Linked DNA regions of Arabidopsis thaliana. The protein of the gene in region 3 interacts with the protein of the main gene of each other region in a pairwise test. Each region holds a gene or a part of one and is shown on either strand. Other genes may lie near its edges.

What was found.
Region 1: the proteins of ASIL1 (region 3) and AT3G11590 interact in a two-hybrid assay, tested with the Arabidopsis thaliana proteins (one large-scale study listed by BioGRID).
Region 2: the proteins of ASIL1 (region 3) and PDE334 interact in a two-hybrid assay, tested with the Arabidopsis thaliana proteins (one large-scale study listed by BioGRID).

Annotation. Positions count from the first base shown.
Region 1 is NC_003074.8:3,657,335-3,666,468, forward strand, and holds AT3G11590 (golgin family A protein), read left to right. Parts: upstream 1-2,963; 5' UTR 2,964-3,163; intron 3,164-3,262; 5' UTR 3,263-3,293; coding exon 3,294-3,776; intron 3,777-3,829; exon of another isoform or gene 3,830-4,451; coding exon 4,452-4,574; intron 4,575-4,940; coding exon 4,941-6,203; 3' UTR 6,204-6,400; downstream 6,401-9,134. Other genes in the region: AT3G11591 (bric-a-brac protein), read right to left, coding at 6,446-6,637.
Region 2 is NC_003075.7:15,570,819-15,577,776, forward strand, and holds PDE334 (ATPase, F0 complex, subunit B/B', bacterial/chloroplast), read right to left. Parts: upstream 3,920-6,958; 5' UTR 3,769-3,919; coding exon 3,274-3,768; intron 3,206-3,273; coding exon 3,041-3,205; 3' UTR 2,735-3,040; downstream 1-2,734. Other genes in the region: AT4G32250 (Protein kinase superfamily protein), read right to left, coding at 1-388, 613-1,086, 1,191-1,282, 1,363-1,710; AT4G32270 (Ubiquitin-like superfamily protein), read right to left, coding at 4,197-4,470, 4,553-4,647, 4,862-4,961, 5,084-5,183, 5,392-5,542; AT4G32272 (Nucleotide/sugar transporter family protein), read right to left, coding at 6,377-6,451, 6,550-6,606, 6,700-6,807, 6,894-6,958.
Region 3 is NC_003070.9:20,176,762-20,184,085, reverse strand, and holds ASIL1 (6B-interacting protein 1-like 1), read right to left. Parts: upstream 3,477-7,324; 5' UTR 3,115-3,476; coding exon 1,963-3,114; 3' UTR 1,712-1,962; downstream 1-1,711. Other genes in the region: UBP1A (oligouridylate-binding protein 1A), read left to right, coding at 1-163; AT1G54070 (Dormancy/auxin associated family protein), read right to left, coding at 844-871, 975-1,068, 1,154-1,403; AT1G54050 (HSP20-like chaperones superfamily protein), read left to right, coding at 3,964-4,167, 4,265-4,528. UniProt on the Arabidopsis thaliana protein: Transcription repressor that binds specific DNA sequence such as the GT-box-like motif 5'-CGTGATT-3' in the AT2S3 promoter. Negative regulator of seed maturation genes during seed germination and seedling development.

The sequences.
Region 1 (9,134 bases), on a different chromosome or scaffold from region 3:
CTCTCTATCTACTCTCTGAGCTCTCTACATTGCATCAAAATTTCGATTATTTGAGAGTCCCCATTTCAAAGTTAACCACCTTTTGCTTCTTTTATTACAATATAATGTTAAATCAGTAGTTTACGAACGCCTATGAAAATGATCAATTGTAGTCTTCAACATTACCAATCAAGATGACAATATAAATACACGGTGTGAAATACTGTAAATAAAAACATAAGAGAAATCATATACGACTAATTAAAAAAAAAATATATATGATTCGATGCCTTCGCTTATAATTTTTATAGAAAACAAAAAATTATTGTATTTTCTAATTTTTTTTTTTAACTTTATTTTCTTTACGAATGAAAGATGTGTTTTAATAAAGAACTTACATTATGGGGATAAATAATAATAGAAAAATAAAAATAATGAAAGCCTATATATATGTATCCCTCTAATGATGTGTATAATTAGGATTAGACATCTCATAACTCTCAACAAGTTGACTTGTTGACTTAGCTCTTCGTCAATGAGAGCGAACATGTTTGTTGGAACACATCATTAGTGGACAAATGAATGCAGATTAAAAGAAAAATTATAATCAAATTTTCTAGAAAAACATATGACAGATACTTTGAGAGATAATAGAGTTTTTGTTTGATTGAATATAACATATTGTGGTTTGTTTTCACGTGGTTTAGAAAAGAAACAAGAGTGGGCTTTTAAATTGGGCCCACAGAGTGGCAGAAGCAGGGCTGAGAGAGTAATGGGTCCTACAAAACGCCCATGATCCCAAAATTTCCAAAGAAAATGGAGACAATCTTCTGTGTTTATCCGAAAGCTACCCTCACGCTTTGGATTTTCTTCTTCTTTTTTTTTTCTCTCTCTTTTCTTTTTTAATACTACTTATTTTTCTATAAATTTGTATATCTAGCTATAAAGGTAATAGAAAATGGTAAGTTATTTTTTCCTTCCGGTACAAAAGATGAAAACATGCAATAGTCGGCAAAGGTCCACACTCCACACATTTGTCTGCACATCTATCCAATATTCATTCATAGGTTCAACCACAACTTTATCTACTACATATATATTTTTTATTTTATTGAACGAATTTATATTCGTTTTCCATTTCTGTCATATATCATAGTAGATGTTGATAGTTGGGTAATGGAGCAAGTGAAAGATTGATGGTTGGTAGACCATAGATTCATGCATTCATACCATAAGGTATACTGATGGTGATTGGGTAAATTTTTGAGTCAGCTATTACAATTGAAAAGTTCATCAAATGACAAAACTATTACAACTTAGATCTTTGACAGCCAAAAGAAAAAAAAAAAAAAAAGAGAAAAAAAAAACTAAATTGTTGTTAGAAATTAGAAGTCAGAAGTAAGAAGACTCCCATAGGAATACAGTTCTGGCAACCAATTTCTTAGTTCTTTATTGGGCATTCATATCTTAGTTGGGCCTGACTCATATATATTTTGAACTTTTTGTACGCAATTGTATCTAACACTATAGTCTTACATTGTTCATATATTTAATGTTTTATATTGATTGCTACCTATATATTTTGATATGATGTAGATCCAACTATTTCTAGGTTGAATTGTCTTTTCGAACAGATTTTGTTTCCGGATTCACCATAAAAAAAAAAAAAAACTTATGTGACAGAAAGTACTATAGAAAGAATCGTGTTTACAACAATAAAGAGACTTGACCCAAACAAAAAACGTTTACAACAATAAAGAGTTGAACAATAATACGGTACGATTGTGTATGTTGAATCATCTCCTCCACTTGGACGTGTCCATTTGACAACGGAAAAAAGTGTGGCCGTGTTATCTTTCTTTGTAACGTTTACAGTTTCAATTGTTTAGTTTGATCAAATAATTAACTTGTGAATTTTATGGATGCAATATCTTGAAAACTAGGAAATCATATCTGATCATCCTGCTATAAAAAAAATAATACATGCATTTTAATATTCATGGTTTCACATGAATACTTCGGTCATCCATTTTTCAATTACACGAGTGTAAATCTGTAATATCAATATTCATTTATAATTATAACGGGTTGTGATTTGTGAAATTGTGGGTATAGATAAAACTTCAAAACCTATTGAAATGAATATCTATATACTTGGAATAGTAGTAGACACATTTTGTAATGAGTAACTTAAGCACACCGGTTCTCACTCACACTCGTCTAATGGAGAAAAATGGTATATTATATACCTCATATAGGAACATGATCATATGATTTAGGAGTCATAAGCATGAGATTAACAAGATATTTTGGTCCACATTAGGAATCTACTAAAGGAACTATTTTCTTATAACCTAAAAATCTTGGTTTGGTAAAAAGAACAACCTTAGATTATTTGGTCTTTTATCGATTCATGTAATTGTGTATCAAATGATTAAAATCTAATGCATCCTACTCAAACACGTCATTTAAGAAACCCTATATAGTACAAACACGATCCAATCTCCAAATTAACCCATAGTATATCATAGACGAGCATAATATTTTTGGTCAAATATAAAATTAGATGCACTAGTTCCCTTTATTTAGGCAGATGGACTTTCTTCTAATCGAAAATAATTGTTCTCAATGAGCCGTCAAACTTTGTGAAATATGGATATAAATTCATGACATCTACATAATTTTTGGTTTAACATGTGAAATTGAACTTAGGATCTATTTCATTCGAATTCTTACCATATACTAACCAAATATAAATAATGTTTACTGCTAAATACTATTTATATAAGTTTGTTCTTCACTAAAGAAATTTGTTGATTAGTTTGTTTTTCTAATTGAGAATCTCTTATTTCAGGACCGATAAAAAGGAAGTGATTTCCGGTTTTCGATTCAATTATTTCGGTTTAAGTCGGTTTACAAATCATCCACCCTGTAAATCACGGAGCAACATCCATAATCCATACAGATCAAACCACGTGGACATGTTACAGTGTTCCTTATCACAGAAGATGAGTACTCCTGTCATCTTTCCCCTTTTCACTTTAACATAACACTCTGTACACTAGTCTGATCAAAAAACCTCAAAACACAGCAACCGCCATTTCTTTCCAAATTCCCCCAATTCCCATTCCAACTTTATCTTCTGAAGTAGAAGAAGAAGCCATAGAAATGCTTTGAAGTTTCTGTAAGTGTTCTTACTCACTCTAAAAACTTCAATTTTGGTCTTTGTGCTTTTTTCTAACAGATCGGTGAAATTTTCTGAATCTGCTTTTTGTTTTTCCAGGTAAAGAGAAAGATCTACAATTGTTTTGAATATGCCGAGGCAGAATCAAAGCGTAGAGAATCTACTTCTACTTGGCAAAATCAGGAAACGTGGTTGTTCTTCGCCGACATCGTCGACTTCTTCGATTCTCCGTGAAGGTTATAGATTCAAAAGAGCGATAGTTGTTGGTAAAAGAGGAGGATCCACTACTCCTGTACCTACATGGAGACTTATGGGTCGATCTCCTTCTCCACGAGCTTCCGGTGCTTTACACGCTGCTGCTTCTCCGTCGTCTCACTGCGGGAGCAAAACCGGTAAAGTATCAGCTCCTGCTCCTGTTTCAGCTAGGAAGTTAGCTGCGACGCTTTGGGAGATGAACGAGATGCCTTCACCTAGAGTTGTGGAGGAGGCTGCGCCAATGATTAGAAAGAGTAGAAAGGAGAGAATCGCGCCGCTTCCTCCGCCGAGATCATCGGTTCATTCTGGTTCTCTACCGCCTCATCTTTCTGATCCGTCGCATAGTCCAGTCTCTGAGGTAAAATGCTTTGGTTATGATTGGTTGAGAGGAAGAGAATGTGCTGTAATTCCAACTTCTTGCTGGCTGCCATGTGCTTTAATTCTGACCGATCAAAAGAGAGAGAGAAAAACAATAATATATATAGTATAGTATTGATTGATTCGGGGAAGTTATAAAGATCTCATCTTTAACTGATAAAATTGATAATCTTTGTGTGATTCTAAGGTCTGAATTTAGTCAAAGTTGTGATTTTTTTGGCAACCTCTATGAGTATTTTAATCATCAAGGGAGATTATTATTCGTATAAGCTTCTGGTTGATGTTAAGGAGTGGGATTAGAGAAGAATAGAAAACTGTTTTGATCTTAAGAATCTTTTGTCATGTGCTCTATAACGCACATTTATGTTTATATGAAAGGGCGTTTCTTTATAAGTTGGTGCCTATTATTCTTGCATAATTGGGCACTTCTACTAGTTTTTATTCTTTCTCATTCGTTGGTCATATGGAGGTAGCTGGTTGTTTTTTAGAGGTTGATTTATTGTGAATAATGTAGGCCTAGATTCTCTTATAATGGAGACCTAAGAAAAATTATATATAATGCTAAATCTGGCAATGGACAATGCGAAGAATTCTGCTTTCTTTACTTCTGTGTGTTAGGTAATTGGATAGCTGAGAAACTTGTTGATTTTTGTAGAGGATGGAAAGATCAGGGACTGGGAGTCGCCAGAGAAGAGCTTCATCAACTGTGCAAAAGCTTAGGCTTGGAGACTGCAATGTGGGGGCTAGGGATCCTATTAACAGTGGCAGCTTCATGGATGTAAGTTGATTTTTTTATTTTTTTTTCACTCTTGGGGATGTTTCTTTGAGCATTATGAGGAACCCTTTCTTCTAGCAGTTTTCATAATTTTCTCAAACCAAATTTGGTATTTGATTAAGGATGAAAGTAGTATATTATTGAGCATTATTGGCTCCAGAGGCTGTTGGTTTTTTTACTTTGGAAGCATACGTACACATAATCTATGGTTTGTTTTGTTATGCACAGAAACATTGCAAATAACGGTATAAGAAACTAGGAGACACTCAATCCGTTATGATTAGTTAATTTGCCTCCATCATCTATAAATCAATATGTGTGCAAGAGAGTGATGTTCAAAAATATTTGAAATGTGTTTTTCCAATGCAGATTGAGACTCGATCACGGGTGGAGACACCGACTGGGTCAACTGTGGGTGTCAAAACACGGTTGAAGGATTGTAGTAACGCTCTCACAACATCAAAAGAGCTTCTCAAAATCATTAACAGAATGTGGGGTCAAGACGACCGCCCATCTTCTAGCATGTCCCTCGTCTCTGCTTTACATTCTGAGCTCGAAAGAGCTCGCTTACAGGTCAATCAGTTAATCCACGAACATAAACCGGAAAACAACGACATTAGCTACTTGATGAAGCGTTTTGCCGAAGAGAAAGCTGTGTGGAAAAGCAACGAGCAAGAAGTTGTTGAGGCTGCAATCGAATCTGTTGCTGGTGAGCTAGAAGTGGAGAGGAAGCTGAGGAGACGGTTTGAGAGCTTGAACAAGAAATTGGGCAAAGAATTGGCTGAAACAAAATCAGCTCTGATGAAAGCAGTTAAAGAAATCGAGAACGAGAAGCGAGCGAGAGTGATGGTTGAGAAAGTTTGTGATGAACTAGCAAGAGACATAAGCGAAGACAAAGCCGAAGTTGAAGAACTGAAGAGAGAATCTTTTAAAGTCAAAGAAGAAGTCGAAAAGGAAAGAGAGATGTTGCAGTTAGCAGATGCATTGCGGGAAGAGAGAGTACAGATGAAACTATCGGAGGCTAAACACCAGCTCGAGGAGAAAAACGCAGCTGTTGATAAGCTAAGAAACCAGCTTCAAACTTACCTCAAAGCAAAAAGATGTAAAGAGAAGACCCGTGAACCACCTCAAACTCAGCTACATAACGAAGAGGCTGGAGATTATTTAAACCATCACATCAGTTTTGGATCATATAACATCGAAGATGGAGAAGTCGAGAATGGAAATGAAGAAGGTTCAGGCGAAAGCGACCTTCATTCCATAGAACTGAACATAGACAACAAGAGCTATAAATGGCCTTATGGTGAAGAGAACAGAGGAAGAAAATCAACGCCAAGGAAAAGCCTTTCTTTACAAAGAAGCATATCGGATTGTGTTGATTGGGTTGTACAGAGCGAGAAGCTTCAAAAAAGTGGAGATGGAGGGTTGGATTGGGGAAGATCTATTGACGTTGAGCCTAAAGGGTATATAGATGAAACACAAGCTTATAAACCAAACAAGGCTTCTTCAAAAGATCACCATATCCTCTCGGGTTCGAGACTAAGTAACTTCCGCGGTGGATCTGTTTCAAAGTCGCGGTTATCGGATGCTTCGAAAGGCGAGAACCAGAATGCCAGAAAATCAAGATGGTAATATGATCAAGAAATTTTATTCACATTTTCAGCGCAGAGATAACAGAATCTAAAGACTTTACATCTACATTTTTTCTCTGTTCGCTCGTTTTGTCAAGAGTGATTCTCTCATCTGTAAGTGACATAAAACATGAATTTGAACTGGTAATGATCCAAACATGTAAGAGCATGAATTTACACGAAATCGTCTTTTGATTTATATCATTTAAGAGTTAGAACGCCTACAAGATCGAAAAAAAGACACTAATCGTCGAGCCATTTCCTGATTCGATCCTTGACGAAATCATTACGAGCTTTGACGCGAGCTTGTTGCGGTGAGATGTTGGCGAGTGAGAGATACGCTCCGGCGACGAAGAGAGAAACGCCCGCCGCGAAAAAACCCACCGACACTACTAACTGCCGCCGTGTCGGCGGATACGACATAAAAAACACCATCTTATCGTTTACCGCCGTCTGTTGCAAAAGCTGTTTAATACTAACTGTTAATGGGCCGGGGTTTTTTATTTTATTTTGGGCTTTATTTTTAATCTCCAATTTCTCAACAAATTAAAAAAAAAGAGTATTAAAAAAAAGGAATGAAGATTAAACCGAGAAGGCGAGAACTTTTTTTTTTTTTGTTATTGGTTATTTAATATTATAAACAATGGTTTAATGGATTATTTTCGAATTTAGATCCATACAAAATTTGAAAAGAGCCCAATCAACTATACCAAACCGAACCAAGCTCTTAAATCAAAATCGACCCGAGCTAATAAACTGACTAAACCGATCTACTATGAAGCCCTAATCTTCAATCGGAAAATCCAAAAAAGCCGCCGGCCAACAGATCTGCGAATATTCTTCGGAATAGGACTTCCGACGAGTCTGGACAATGCGAGCCGAACGGAGATGGTAACACAGATTTCGTCGCCATCCCACGACTGTAGAGCAATATATGATTGATTGTTGATTTTTATGGTCTGTGTGTGGGTTTGTTGATCTAAATCTTATTGTATTGTAAGATCAAAAGCCAAGAAACGAAAGATCCGGAGTAAGCTCAACATCATAGCAAAAATGTTGCTCGTGAGGAGGACTAAGATTTGGCTTTGAGCTTTGATTCTACGACGTTTTACTCGCTATGAATCTAAACATTTTGTAAGTAAAGCGTGAAGCTTATGTCGAAATCATATTATAGCTACTAAAATAAGTAGAATGTCTAATCTCTTAGATCAACAATATAATATTAATAGGCTACATCTTTATAAAAATTAAGGCTAGTATTTACTTAAAATTAGTGTTTAAGGATATTTTTTTTAAAAAAAAAATCATAACATTAACATTTATGAAAATTATTTTTGATTTTCATGATATTAACTCACAAAATCTCATTTTCAATGAGAATATTTGAAAAATGGTAAAAAAAACTCTTGTCTTTAAAAGAAAAATATGTATTCAAGGCAACAATTTAAATTTTTGCCTTAAACCGCTTTTGACCTTCGCACATTATGTTTCATAGATAAAAAGAGTTATGGAAAAAACTTTAGATCTTAACCTAAAATGCATGAATTATAGTTAAGGTTGGTTCGATATTGATAACATTATGATATTGCACATATATTAATGTGATTCATGTGCCTGAAAGATCTGAAGGTCTTGTCAAACGAAGTAAATTTAATTTTTGTTTTAAGAGATCTGAGATCAAAAAAATTACTGAGTAGCTATATCAATTAAAATCTATTGTTAGTTTTCAGAAATAGAGACCGAAAAAGAACTACTGTTCTAAATTAATAGTGTTAGACATTGGACATAAAATGTACAATCTTGCATAAAACTGGTTTGATTTGATTTTTTAATGTCGTAGTTGTTATAATATTACATTAGTATATGTATAAAGCAAAATCTTCAGTCCTCTAATCTTCCCTCTAGTTTTCATTTTCTGTTCTTAGAAGCATTTTCCTTCACTATAACATTAAAGTTTTTCCTAATCTTGCTTCTCTTAGCATTTGTAATAGTGGTTTTTACAAAACGATAGGATTAACAAAGACAAATTCTTAAAACTAATTCGGTTAATTGCTCTACTCGACTTGAGAATCATTCATATTCTCTGTGACAATAATTACTTTAGCTTTTGTATTGTGAAGTTGAGAATAAGTAAATTAATTAAGCTAAAATGTCTAAATTATCAAATTGTTTGGTTAGTCTGTCCATGTCGTTTACACTTCTAAAGATTTACGTATTTGTAAGGGATTTTAGTCAACTAAACTGAATCATTAGATGATATGCATTTAATTTAATTAGCCGTATTTATTATAATCCACGCGTCTATCATGTTCAGATACGGTCAAATTTAATCTTTAAATGTAAAAGTATAGTTCATGACCACCAATTAAGCAATGTATCAAACTATATAATTGTGTAAATATTTTTTTTACAAAAACAAAAAGACAAGAAATATTAAAGCTAATTTATTTTCTGTTTTGTCGACAAAAATAACTGTAATTTAACTTTGGTTCTCTTTATTTTAACATTTTAATTCCATGTATTTCTACAGGTATTGTTACATAAGATACCAAATCCGAACATTGGTTTTCATTCATACTTATCTCTTAACATTAATTGTAAATCCAGCCAAGCATGGTCATAGTTTCAATTAAATGAAATTAATTGTAAGGTTGTCAGCTTTTATTATACTAGTAGTTCGGAAGATATTACCTCTTCCGTGTTATTATTATCTTTATTATCTATTGTTTTTAATAGGAAAATTTATAAATTTGTGTTTACCAATTTCTTCTTACAAAAAATAAAATAAAAAATCATTAAATAACTTCACATGGGAAATTAACTCACACTGCAATATTAATAGCTTGCTTTTGGTGTGAAGCTACGTGATATTGCAGTCACAACAATTAACTTTGACGTAGCCATTCTTTTAGTATCTTGTAAGTTTCTTTAG
Region 2 (6,958 bases), on a different chromosome or scaffold from region 3:
GTCAATTGAATGGAGAACACCAACCGGAGAGTGCCTCTTGTCTTTCCTGACCTTCAGACGCACCCAATCTCCAGAAGCTAAGCCGTTAGTTACCCGTTCAAGAACAGATACGTGAACCCTTAATGGATCATGTACACCATGGACTTTAACTAGCACAAATCCATCTGGGTCTGTGGAGTCACGTTCTAAACCAACCACCATTCCTTCTGGCACATCCATGTTCTCATGCTTACACGAATTGGCAGGCTTTCTTGAACGCACGGTGTCGCGCACTTGCAGATGATCCTTTGAAAGAAACCATTCTGTATAACCAAGAGTAGCCGAGCTCTTCCTGATTTCTCTACTATCAATGCCTCTCCTGACCTGTTCCTCCTCCGAGTTCTGCAAGCTGCCAAATCGGTTCCAGTCAATATCACAATTAAAGGTAGCCAATTAAAATTTCCATCAAGAATAAAGAAATTGGATTCCAAAAAAATATTAAAACATCAGACACGAAACTATAAAAACTATGGGATTTTCCGAAGATACTATGACCATACATAATGAAATATAAACACTTCTAAATCGATCTTGTTCAAACTGAATATATAACGGTGTCAAGATATGATTTACCTCTTTAAGACGAGTAAGATGTCAGTCATCGAAGGTCGGCTTCGAAGATCATACATAAAGCAACCCCGAAGTAGGTTCTCGAGAGGAGGCGGTATGCTACTGGGGATACTAAGCTTTTCTTGCTTTCTCACCACCAAATCATATATTTCATCGGCAGATCTCCCAGACCAAGGTTGTACACCAGTCAGCATTTCAACAATGCTGCAACCAAATCCCCAAGAATCAGTCTCAAAGGACATGGGACCTCTGACATCCGGTTGCCACTGTTCTGGTGCCATATAGTTTGGAGTTCCAAGTCTCTCTGTCATATCAGAACTTGGTAAAGGGATACTAAGAAGGAGATAAGGGATCCCAACATCCCCGAGGATGGCCTTGTCGTTATCACTGAGAAGAAAGTTAGAGGGCTTGAGATTGAGAATGAGAAACCCTTTTGAGTGCAACTCCAGGATCCCTGTAGCCAGATCAACCCCGTATCTGTAAAACGAGGTTCACATAAATAAGAAAGACATTAGTATTCTATATTACAATGAAGAAGACGCTACTACAATGAGCTTCTTACTTGTGTAATGAAGAATTACCTCAAAACATCTGGCAGTGAAAGCTTTCCTCCTTTAAGCCGAGCCATCTTGTCACCAAGAGAGCCCTCGTAGAATTTCATGACGACACATATCTACACGATACAAATCAGCTATTAAACAAAAATTGAAAATACGGTGAAACTAGAGAAACACACATGTTTGTTTCACTTACCTTTCCATTGATACTAGAGACTCCCCTGAGCAGACAGACATTCTCTAGTCCTTGACATTTAGAGAAGAGATCTTCAAACTTATCTACCACAACCCTTCTTTGATCTTCCTTGATGGGATAAAGCATTTTGATGGCCACTTCATGATGCTCATCATAGTCCTCAGTTGACTGATGATGAGTAGCCAGCCAAACATCACCGAAGGGACCTCTTCCAATTCGATGTCGAAGCTTCAACGTTGATGAATTCATCCAAGGGCTTGTCCCCGCTGCTAAAGCGCTCTCAGACTCACCTTCAATGATTTCATACTCGGTATCATCCGGCTTGCCAGCAATAATCTTTGAAGCCATTTATCTCTGTCTGAACCAATAAACACAGTTTCACCAGTTGGGATATCGCATAAACTCAACAACAGAAATCAAACTATTTAAGCAACAAAAAGGACTTTCCTCTCACTTGTTAACTATTCTTACAAGCAGATAGAGAAAGCAAGAAATGATTCCGAAACTAAACATCATGGTAAAACGCAATACATGGAATTGAAGAGAAAAGTCAGAAACCAGAGACGTGCCCACTATGGGAATAAGTTAGCGATACGAACAAGGGACAGAGACAGTATCGTGGAGAAGTAGAATCGTGGAGAAGTAGAAGAACAAGTAACAGTAACCAAATACAAAGAAAACCAATTAATGCTAGATAGAATCAATCATGAGTCAATCAAAGTTAACCAGCCAATGTTTTGATTGAAATAAGCCAACAATAAAGACAACTCTCAGATCTCATAGAACAAAATATTTAAGCGAAGAAATCAAACTGAAATTGAACTAGAGTTGCAATGAAACCAGAGAAAAAAATCACAGCTTACGAAGCATAAGAGAAGGGTCAAAGAAAGTAACCGACAATGAGGGAGAGAAAAGAGCAATTTCGACGGATTAAGAAGCTTTTGAAGAAAACCCTAACACCAGTAATGACGCGAGCGAAAATGGTAACACAAAACTCCAAAGGCCTGATGAAAGAGAGACGAAGAAAACAAGCCAAAAAAACTAAGAATTGATCATCGGGAACTGAAACAAGTAACTTCAGAAGCTGAAAAAGACAGAGAAGAGAAAGAGAACCGTGAGCGTGAGAAGAAGAAGAAGAAGGAACAAGGCGTGGAGGCCCCGTCATTTGTTTTAATCAAACACCGACCCGCGTTAGCTTTAGGGCCCATTTCGTTTTAGGGCCCAATAATAAGATAGAGTAACTGAGGTTTGGGCTTCGTTGTTGGACCTGAGCTCGTTATGGAAGAGTCAACTTAACTTTCTATGAACACTTTCGGACAAAGCTGGAGTGTTTGGCTCTGAAAACTCAATTTCTCTCTACTCTTTACACAAGCAACTCCTGCCATTTGCGTTTTTGTTCAATCGATTCAAATAGACATAAATCTAGTGACGATAAGACTCGCATGAAGATTTTATCCGTAACAACTAATTCCTCGATATACATACTTGTACTTTAATCATCTAAAATGACAGAAGAGAGCTAATTATTTATAAACTTACAAAATAAAAATTGTTCTTCTTTGAACGACGAACAATCCAAGAAACAGAGAAGAAGAAGAAGAAGAGATTTACAGTAATTTCTTGTAAATAAGTTTTGAGATAGAGAGACAGAGAATTACACAGTTAACAAAAATATAATTTAAGAAGGAAGAACCTTCTTGACAATGTCTTCACTAAGAGCAGCAATCTGAGAATCCAAAGCTTTAATGGTTTCTTCTTTCTGACTCTCCAAGCTCGCCAAAGCTTCTTTTAGCTCTTCCTCCACCTTCTTCCTTCCCTCCGCTAGCTTCTCCTCGACTTCAACCTGCAAAAAAAATACACAATCCATTTACCAATTTCTTCACTCTGAGTGCATTGTTGTTTCTTTTATACCTGAGTCTCCTTCTTCATCTTGTTAAGCGCGGCGGCGATCTCAGCCCTAGCTGCTCTCATCACGGCGGCGGCTTGCTCATCGAGCTCCTTTACTTCAGTCGAAGTGTCCTTAACACTCGCGAGCTTCTCTTTGATGGAAGCGTCTCTTTGATCCATGAAGTTACCAAGCGGAGAGTAATAGACCTTGTCGAGAGCGAACATCAAGAAGAGAAACTCAACAACGATGATCGGAAGCGTGAGATTGAAATCGAAGAGCTGTGCTTTCTCCATCGCCTCCGCCATCGACGGAGGAGCGAAAGCGGCGATTAAAGCTAAGGATTTGGCGGTGGCGGAGGAGAGTGATAGTGCTTTGCTACGGAGATCGGTGGAGGAAGTGAGGGATTTGGGAATTTGGGGAAGTTTGGCGAATTTGGGAATTTGGACTCGGTTTGGTTGTTGGTTGGATGACAGGGAGATTAGGGGTTTGGAGGAAGCCATTATCGAATTAGCAGCCATCGCCACACACACAGAGAAGAGCTTCGAGAGATGAGAAATGCTCAAAACTGTAATCTCTTTGGAGACGAATGGGAGAGAGAAGAGATTTGCTTAGGAATGTTATCTCTTCTCTTCGCCACACAAATAAGCTAAAGGCTGTGGTCGTCAGATTAAAATCAATGGAGCGGAAAATCAATTAAAAAGTAAATGATTGCGTTTTGGCCACAAACGCAAACACAAACGCAAACGCAAACGCAAACGCGAACGCTGTACCAGATAAGGTTAAAATGGCTAAGACGGTAAGGTTGCAATTATATCCACTACAAACGTAAATACACAATGCCTTATTCATTTTGCACACACACAACATCCAAGTTTGTATATAAACACCAAGATTAGGAAATCAAAATCTCTACAAGAATCAAATGATAGAAAAGGAGTGCTTTTTTTTAGGTTTCGGATATGAGTTTTTTTCTGTTCCACACATCCTTCTCGGAATTACACTTGAAACGAAACCTTGCAATGAGTTTGTTAAAAACTCTACTTGCAGTCACGTTTCTGTATTTAGTACCTCGTTGACTTGGCGTCGACTTGTAAGAGAGCAAACCTCCCAATACAGTTGCTAGAAAGCTTGGTTGGCTCCGAGGGATGGAGTCAACAACACCGTCTTCTTCAACTTCCCTTATTACGTTCTTTTTCCGGGTTTCCGGTGTGGTTGAGAACCTGATTGGTCCAAAAACATGTATTACTATGGAGATTCCGGATAATGAAATGCTAAAAACATTTTAACACCAAAAGTTCTTACAGTTTGAGTTGTTTGAAAGAAGAAACACGGGGTGTCTTGCTCTTATGCTTCACCATTAACATGCAGTAGTTTGAGATATGGCGGATGAACCGAAGCTGAATGATGGCAGATAAAACACATTATAGAGCATCAAAACAAAGCACTATGTTGTCAAAACTAAACTGGACTATAACAATCTACATAATCCAGGTTAGAGACTCTAGCTACCCAAATGCATCGTTCTACGACATCACATGTAAAGATGAAATAATATCATAAGCATAGACTCTTTGATGTATTCAAGTGATAAAGAAAGAGTAAAAGGGTAACCTGATCGCCGTCTTTAATGCCAAATTCAGTGAGGTACTCAGACTCATTAATCAATCTTTTATCTTCATAAGATAAGCAGAATTGTCCCCAAACATGCGGCCTTTATAATCACAGGGTAAAAATAGGATCATCAAGAATCATTTAGCAGTTACTTATCCTAATATAGACACAAAATCGGAATCATTATAAGAATAACTCAAGTCAAAGAATCAGAGATGGTACCATGAGATCTTGCCAGGGCCTGAGATGGGCAAGTGAGAAAACGCAGCTTCTACTGCCATCTTGAGCTCCCCTACTGTCGCTGTCTTCAACACTTGAATACCTACAAATCCAAATTACGCTTAAAGGGAATTGTACTAAATCACAAATTCAGAAACCAGTCAAATTTCTCTGGACAACCTCAAACGAAACAACACAGAAAAAACTAGAATTCGTTGTAAAGCAATAACTTTTAGTTCTTTTGAGCAAACATTCTTAGTTAACATATAAAATTTAATGGTAAAAGCAAGTAGGAGATGAGTAATGGGTACCAAAGGAAGATCCATCAAGCTTGAGAACAGTGAGTTTGATGGGCTCTTCAGGCATCTGATTATAATTGAAACTCCTCCGACGAGGGAGTCCATCGATTAGCCGGAGAGGCGAGAGAGACGCAGCCAAAGAGCGGCGTGGTGGAACGTCCATAGATTGATTATTGAGAAAATTTGATTTTCCCGGGCTAAGACATCTACTTCCAAGATTTTTGGCGACGGAGTAGGAGAAATCAGAGCTTGAGTTGGGTCAGAGTGGAAGATTGATACCATGAGCATGGGAAGAGGATGAGGAAGGGGAATATACTTTGAAGGAAATCATGGTTAAGGGATCTCTGCTTTTTTACCGGCGAGAGAATGTTTTGCTTTTGAAGAAGGTATGGAACACGATTACAAATACAATTATATGATATATAAAACAACTCAGAAGGATGTAGCAACAAGCACCCATGGCCTAATGGATAAGGCGCTTGACTTCTAATCAAGCGATTGTGGGTTCGAGTCCCACTGGGTGTGCTCTTTTTTTCTTTTCTAGTACTTGCAATTTTAACCGTTGAAGTAATTATTTTTGCTTTCACCGAGCTCTTTGCAAGAATGCCTAGTACCAAATCATCATTGAACGCTTTAAAAGAAGCAGTTGTATAATTACAGTCATCCTTTTCTCAAGTGTGTATAATAATACTACATATATACAATGAAAAGAAGCAGTTGTATAAATTAGAGTCAGTAGATCTCAAAAAAATAGAAAATCAGTTTTGTCCATAGTCTAATCTTTCGCCTTGTTGAAAACTGAAGAAGAACAAGACGCAAGTTCAAAAAATTAGGCCTTTCATTATTAATACTACTCTAAAGTCACCTCCAAAACCAAAAGCTCAACACTCTATCTCCACTTGAACACTACTAGTCAACAACTTTTCCTTAAACTAATGAGCCTTTATCATCACTAGGCCACTCATGTTTTCTTTGGCTTTTCTTTGTTTTGGACTTGTTACCTCCCGATGATCTTATAATATGCATATAAACCTGACCCGAAGAAACCAAAAAGCTGTCCAATCACATTCATCTGTGTAAATGAACCAAAAAAGAAAGGTAGTGAGATGTAGCAAACGTAGATGCCGATTTTAGGTTCAATGGAATAATAGGAATGTTGAAGAAAATTACCAGGTCGAATGGGAGTCCTCCAAAGAGCATCCAGCCTAGTCCAACCGTGAATAGATCCTGCAACGATGATATAATGTTCAAAGTCTCTCCTTGGCAGATTAGTTTCACATTTTTCTTTTGTACAGGAGATACTAATAAAGTGAAACCAACCTTCATATTGCCACAAATTGTCTGCGTCAAAGCTGAATTGAGAGTGGTGTTAAGGAAAATGCAGTAGTTTAAGACGAAAGCCAGCACGCACGAGCAGAGTAATACAACCTGGGTGAGAACATAACAGAAAAAGAGATCATCAGTATCACAAACGCAAAGTGGACAGATATAAGGCAAATAATGATTTACGGTACCATGAAACCAGGAGTTAAGAGGTGAGGAAAGTTAATTGTCTTCTCCAAGTCACCGCAAATAAATG
Region 3 (7,324 bases):
CTACGAGAGGCAACTGGCTCTAGCCAAGATGCATCCTCAGGCTCAACATTCTCTGAGGCAAGCAGGTCTTGGAGTCAATGTTGCTGGAGGAACTGCAGCTATGTATGATGGTGGCTATCAGAATGTAGCTGCGGCCCATCAGCAGCTCATGTACTATCAGTAATAAACCCTCTTCACTGGCTCTGAGATACCTTTTTCTGTTTCTTTCTTTTTCTTCTTCTTAATTTTATAACTTTCTTGCTTTTTCTAGACCTTCCTTGTTCAAGAGTCTTTATGTATGTGTCTCTTTCATTTAAAGCCGTTGGTTTTATTTATGTATGCAGAGCTTTATGCTCAGTTTGTAACCTATAGGTCTTACTTGGATTGTAAGCCAAGCAATAAGACAACATCAAATAAAAGGGGATTTGGTTTTCTGGGGTTAATGTTGTTTGTGGTTCTGTAATGATAGGTTTGAAACAAAGTAATTTGTCTTTTATAAAAGTTTTATAGTTTCATTTCTCATGTTAGTACTTTATTTTGTCGGAAATCCAGTTTAACTAAGCATCAAGTGTTCTGTCCACGAGTGTCCTTTGCCATGCAGCAAAGTATATAATTAAGGTTTTTTTATTTGCCTTTGTCGTTCATAGGATGTAGTAGAGAATCTTGATATAGGCTTCAACATTTAAACGATTAGAGGAAATTGGCAGGGTTCAAATAATATTTTCAAGACCCTGTAATAGGGTACATTGATTCAAGAGACATTACATTTAATACTGACCTTATCAGTAAATATTTACATAATTACATGCATAGGTTATTTATATTTACACAAAAACCCCGTAAGATTTTTCTCTCTCGGCTTGTTCAACGGTCCAACGCGTTTATCACAATCCTGCATACGTACACAAAGCATATCATAAGTACACACATAAAGAGTTTGCCCACAACAACAAAAAAGAGAATTGATTAGGAAATGAAGTGATAGAGATGATAACCATTCATAAGTAGTTAGACTTGCTGCATCGTCTTCGCCAGAGGAAGGGATTTTGCCGGCAGTGAATGGTCCCAAAGCATAGCATGGTGTCCCAGCTGCATAAAAATGTGTTTGACCCAAATGTGAGTCTTAATTTTGTTATTGTTAATTTAGTTTAAAGGGAAGATGAGAAATATATACGGGTTAAAGGTGTCCCAGGGTTGCTGCTTGAACAGGTTGGAGAATCCGGATCCATTTTCAATTTACGGAGACCACGAACATTGTTATTCCCCTTGGTAACCATGATGCTTCTGGTGACTTGGTCGCTTGAGAGAGAAGGAGGAGAAGATCGGACGGTGGATAATGAATCGTGCTTTCTCAATTTCCCGAGACCATTGTCCGGCGTCGGTCCGGCCACCGTTTCATCCCACAGCTTGTGTAGGAACCCCATCCGATCAACAAAAATTTATCCAAAAATATATAACAATATTTTTTCAAATTATTTCGGGTTTTTATTTTACTGTCTCTATCTTCTTTTTTTTTCCTTTGCAATGGAAATGGTTTTATAGAGGTAGTAGAGAGGTAAGGATGAAAGAGAAGAGAGAAGCATTGAATATTTTTAGTGAGGTTAATTATAAGCTTTGGCTTAATTAAGGAGATTTTAATTTAAGGATAAATATGCTGACTAATCCAATCATTAGTCTCTAATCTCATTGGTGAATATTCTATAAGCTGTGTCTTAACTTAGAATCACAAACTACTAGTTCAGAACTCTACTTAAGAATCACAGAGGTTTTCAACAAGCTATTCAAGTTCAAAGCTTTTTAATTTGCCCATGTTTAAGACAAGAAGATGGATAACAATAACAACAACATGATGATAATCAGAGTCATAACTTCTCTACATTTACACATCCCACAAGGCAGTAACAATAACAACAACAACAACATCAAAACCTAAAATCCAGCTTATCATAGCAAATATCATAGGAACATTTGTGTGTTCAATTGTCAGCTACTTACATTGCCGTTATTCTTGCCATTGCGATCATCATCATCATCAACGATCCTCCTTTCTCCTCGCTGCCTGCTCCTCTCTTCCTCTTCTTGATTGTTCTGTGTTATCTCCAATTGAGTTTTCAAGAACTGCATTCTCTGCAACTCCATCTCTTTAGCAAATTTCATCCTCTCCTTTTCCAGTTCCGCCATTAACTTAAGCTTAGCAGTTTCCGCCTTCTCATAAGCTTCCGTAAATCCAAGTATCGCCCTCGCCACATCTCCAACTCCACTCCCTCCACCTCCACTCTTATCCACCTTCAACCGCTTTGGCATATGAAACGAAAGCGGTTGAATCGGTTGCAAAGGTGGGAGACTCTCAGCAGATTCCTCAGGAGAAGCCTCAGGTTCAGGATCAGACTCAGACTCAGTCTCAGAAGCACTACGTTTCCTAAAATGCCACCGCATCGAATCAGAGCCTCTCTTCTCTTGTTGTTGCTGCACAATCTGATTACCTTTAGTTTGCCGTTTAAACATACTCGAACGGCTATTCCCAAGAGCTCCTCCCATAGGAGCCTTCTCTGAAGCTTTTGAAGAAGCAATGAATGTTGTAGTACCACCAATCAAACTCTCAAGCTTCTTGAAGAAAACCCATTTACTAGGTCCATCACCAGAAGCAATCTTAGCTTTCTCTTGCTTATACTTCTTCTTCACCGTATCAATTCTGTTCTTACACTGAATATCAGTTTTAGGGTATTTGCATTGACGACTCTTGTTCACAATCTCAGCTACTTCTTTCCAATGTTGTTGCTTCAAAGTTCCTTTACCTGGTTCAGAGAATCGATCTCCCCAAGCTTCGATTAGAACCTTTGTAGCTTCTTCGCTCCAACAATCATCTCTTCCTCCTCCACCACCACCGCTTCCTCCTCCTCCTCCTCGTCCGTTTCTGTTTCCGCTACCACCACCACCGGTTACAGAAGGAGTATGAACCACTAACGCTAAAGCGTTCATGGACGGAGATTGAGAAGAAAGCCCCGGTTGTGGTTTCTTCACGACGGCCACCGTCACGTCGTTTGTTGGCAAAATCGGCGGAGAAGGAGGAGCTTGTGGTGAAAGGGAAGAATCTCCCGGAGATGGAATTGACTGAATCTCGTCGTCGTCCTCCATGAAAAATCGATCGATTCGGAGAAGGTAAGACGATCTGAGGATTTTGCAAAATTTTGGATCTGAGATTCGCTCACCGGCGAGGGGATAAGGTCACCGGATAGGTAATCTCCGTTATTGACCCGATGGATATGTTAAATGACGAAAACACCCTTCACTCTTTCCTTTAATAACAAAAGAACAATATTAGAAATTTAGAACCGTGACAGTATTCGAATGGTTTTATGGTAAATACTCAAATATCGCTATAAGGTATTTATGCTTTGGCCATTTTTTCGTTAGGAATATTGAATATACACACTGACGGATTTCAAAATTTCTCTAATATACAAAAGTATTTTTATTTTCTTGTCTATAGTATGGTTAGGTAGGTTGTCTCAAGTCTCAAAAACTCTAACTAAAATAAAACGAGATAAATCAAGTCTAATGGGCTAAGGCCTGGAATAACTTTCAAGGCCCAATAAAAACAGATATAAGAAATAAAAATACAAAATAGAACAAAGACATAAATCAAGTCCAATGTGCTAAACGGCCTATAAATAACTTATAAGGCCCAATAAAAGGAGATTTAATGACGTGGAAGCTTTTGAAACAACTCTCAAGTTCACTAGTTACTTCTAGAAATTTTCTCTGGAACTTTCTAGCTCACTGGTGTTTACTCACTATATATCAATGGAGTGAAAATTTCAAACCCCATACTATCAAATCGAAGAAGAGGAAGATCCAATTGGAAAGGGTTATCCTAATTCCCAGGTAATGATCCTATTCTCTGTATCGATCTTTTCCTGGAAAATTTCAGAATTGTTGATTTTTTTAACTGTTTTGTTTTCTGGCAGTCATTGATCGGAGAAGATGAGTGCTGTTGCGATTAACCACTTTTTTGGCTTACCGGAGGCGATCGAGAAGCTAATTCTCCCGATTTCTCGTTCCGGCGAAAGTAATAACGAGAGTCGTGGAAGAGGAAGTAGCAATAATATCCCAATAGACATTTTGGAATCTCCCAAAGAATACATATTTTATCTCGATATCCCCGGAATTTCAAAATCAGATATCCAGGTATTGATATAATCCCATAGAAATGTTGAATTGTTTATGAAATTAGGGTTTTTTTTTTAATTTAATTTATGATTTGGGGGTTTTGGTGGGAAATTAGGTTACAGTGGAGGAAGAGAGGACTTTAGTGATAAAGAGTAATGGGAAGAGGAAGAGAGATGATGATGAGAGTGAAGAAGGGTCTAAGTATATTAGACTCGAGAGGAGACTTGCTCAGAATTTGGTTAAGAAGTTCCGGTTACCAGAAGATGCTGATATGGCTTCTGTAACGGCTAAATATCAAGAAGGTGTTTTGACAGTTGTTATCAAGAAGCTACCGCCACAGCCGCCGAAACCTAAGACTGTTCAAATCGCTGTTTCTTGAGTAGTTTCTGTGTTTTGTTTTTGTGTGTGTTTGTTTTCTAGTTTGTAATTTTTCTGTGTTTGGATAAAAAGACTCTGTTTCTTTTATGTGTTCTCTTGTCGAAATTTTGAAATTGAAGAAATAAATAGGTTTAGCCTCCAAAACCAAAAACAAATAAAAACGTTGTCGACATTACCACCATAAGATACTCCTAAGGCACTGGGCTCTACAAAATTTTTGTGGATTCTACAAGATTAATGTTATAGGAAAAATTCTAAAAAAAATTCAAACTATTTTTTATTTAGAAGTTTAATACCCAAATGTTTTTAGTCAGAAAAAATACATATACAAATTAAAACATACAAGAATTAATATCTAAAATTTTATATGTTGTTATTTTTATACATGATTTTATGAATAATTAAAAATTTCAATTTTATCTTTAACTTTTTAATTAATTATTTATTTTAATTTAAAAAAATTATTTTGGTTCTCTTTTAACCGGATTAAACCAAATCAAAACTGGTTATTACCACCACCAAATTTTGTTCTTGTCATGTTAACCCGATGAGCTTTCCCAATCCAACAACCAACACGCCAATTGTCAATCTGGGCTTTATAAACTTTCTAGAGCTTCCCTCTTCACCAACACCATGTTAACCGACTCTTACCTTTGCAAATTCTTCTCTACGAACAAGAAGCTGGTTAACACATCGACGAACAAAACTCGGTGGTGGTGATAACCAGTTTTGATTTCGGTTTAATTCGGTAAAAAGAGAACCAAAATATTTTTTAAAAATAAAATAAATAATTAATTAAAGAGATAAGAGTAAAGTTGGAAAATTTTGATTTATTATAAACTCGTGTATATAAAAATAACAACACATAAATTTTTGGGTATTAATTCACATCTTTTAGTTAATATATAAAATTTTCTTCAAACTAAAAATATTTGGGTATTAAATTTCCAAATAAAAAATAGTTGATTTTTTTTTTTGAATTTTCATGTTATATGATTACTTTACAAACTTTCTACGATGGTTAATTATTATATTCGTTTTTTAGTCTTCTTCTGTTTAGATGAAATTCGGTTTTTGGTTTTCTTGGGTATGGATTGAAGCCATGATATTTATGAAGAAAAATGAAATAGTGAGGAATTAACGTGAAAATGAGCAAGATATATGTGTAGTACAGTGGCATGAGTTGTTCCAGAACCGTAATGATATTAAGTATTAATTTATAGAGGTCTCACTCTATTAGTATATAAATAACTTTCATATATGATTACATGTTTAATTAAATGGGTAGAAACCAGATAATATATTTTGTTTTTGAGTTTGAATAAAAAGTTTGCGAATGCGTTGTTGCTCTCTGTTGTCGAGATTCTGATGAATACATAAAATAACCATCAACAATTTTTTTTTGTATTATTGTTTTTTAAGCAAAATATTGTAAAATGCTTCTGATATATTAGAAGGACCACGTAATTAATATTCACATTATTACATTTAATATAGTATCTACTCTGTACCATACATTTTTAGTTGTCTAGCGATTGATTTCCTTCACCAGGACCACTTACACCTTTAGCTAAAGTCACAGCTGATAATTGATTTCATCAGGGCCTGCACAACTTCAAGTCCGCAACAACCGCGTGGCCAATAGTTGGGATACATCTTGTTTCCGATATGATCATATATGCATAATGTTTGCACAAAAAAAAAATCAAGATATATTTTTATAGCAAATTTCTTTTTTTTTTTCTTTTTTTTTTCAGCAAAAGCTCAAATTCCTAATTGTTTGATCAAACTTAGTGTTCCTTCTGTTTTTAGAAACATAATGTTTTGGATTTTACACAAATTAATAAAAAATAATTTTTTATTTTTTATTACTCCTTGTATCATAAAAAATGATTTTCAGAGGTTTTCATTTTGTATGAAAAAGATTGATTTTCTGTAAAATTTATCAATCAATGTTAATAAATTGTGAAATTTTAAAATCATTAATTGAGAAATTAAAATTTTGATGAATCACTATTGGTTAATAGTTATGACTTATGAGAAATGGTTTAGTATGAATGCATAGTACATTTATAACTAAACATTAAATGTTTTTCTTAATTGATGCAAAAACTCTATAAAATCAATATTTTTGATACAGATAGAATATTATTTTGTTAGTTTAATAATATTAGTTCCATTTTTCTTTTCTCTATTGGTCACAAATAATGTTATTACAAATCATCGATATCATGGAACAAGAGAAAACCATAACATCAAACTATTAAGAACATAAGGAATATGTAATTTATAAATTTCTAGTAGTTCATGGAGATAAGATTTCTAGTGTTTTTCTCCAATTAGCAGGTTTCATTTGCATAGCTGCACTTACTGGGATGCAAATCCCACAGCAATAAATATGTCAAAGACGTACTCTTAAATACTACATGTTTATATCGTGGTCGTTGCGTTATGTCATAGGCGACATCATGTGGGTTCTAGGGCTAGCTATTTATGCCGACAGCTGTCAACGTGAGAGAAAAAGAAGCGGTGGCCTACGGCATCTGATTTTAGAAAAAGATTAGGGGCATATATTTTAGTAATAATATATAGTTTATCCTTACCAAAGTTATATAAATATGGGCAAGTAATATAACTTACCATGTTGAAGTTTACATATAACTTAGAAAAAGATATGAGTTTCCACTTTCATCTACAATTAAATTTCAAACATTAGTTTCTAATACGTTAGTTTATTAAAGGAAAATGTAAATACATACGCTTATAAGTTATAACTAAACAATTAAGGGTTACAAAG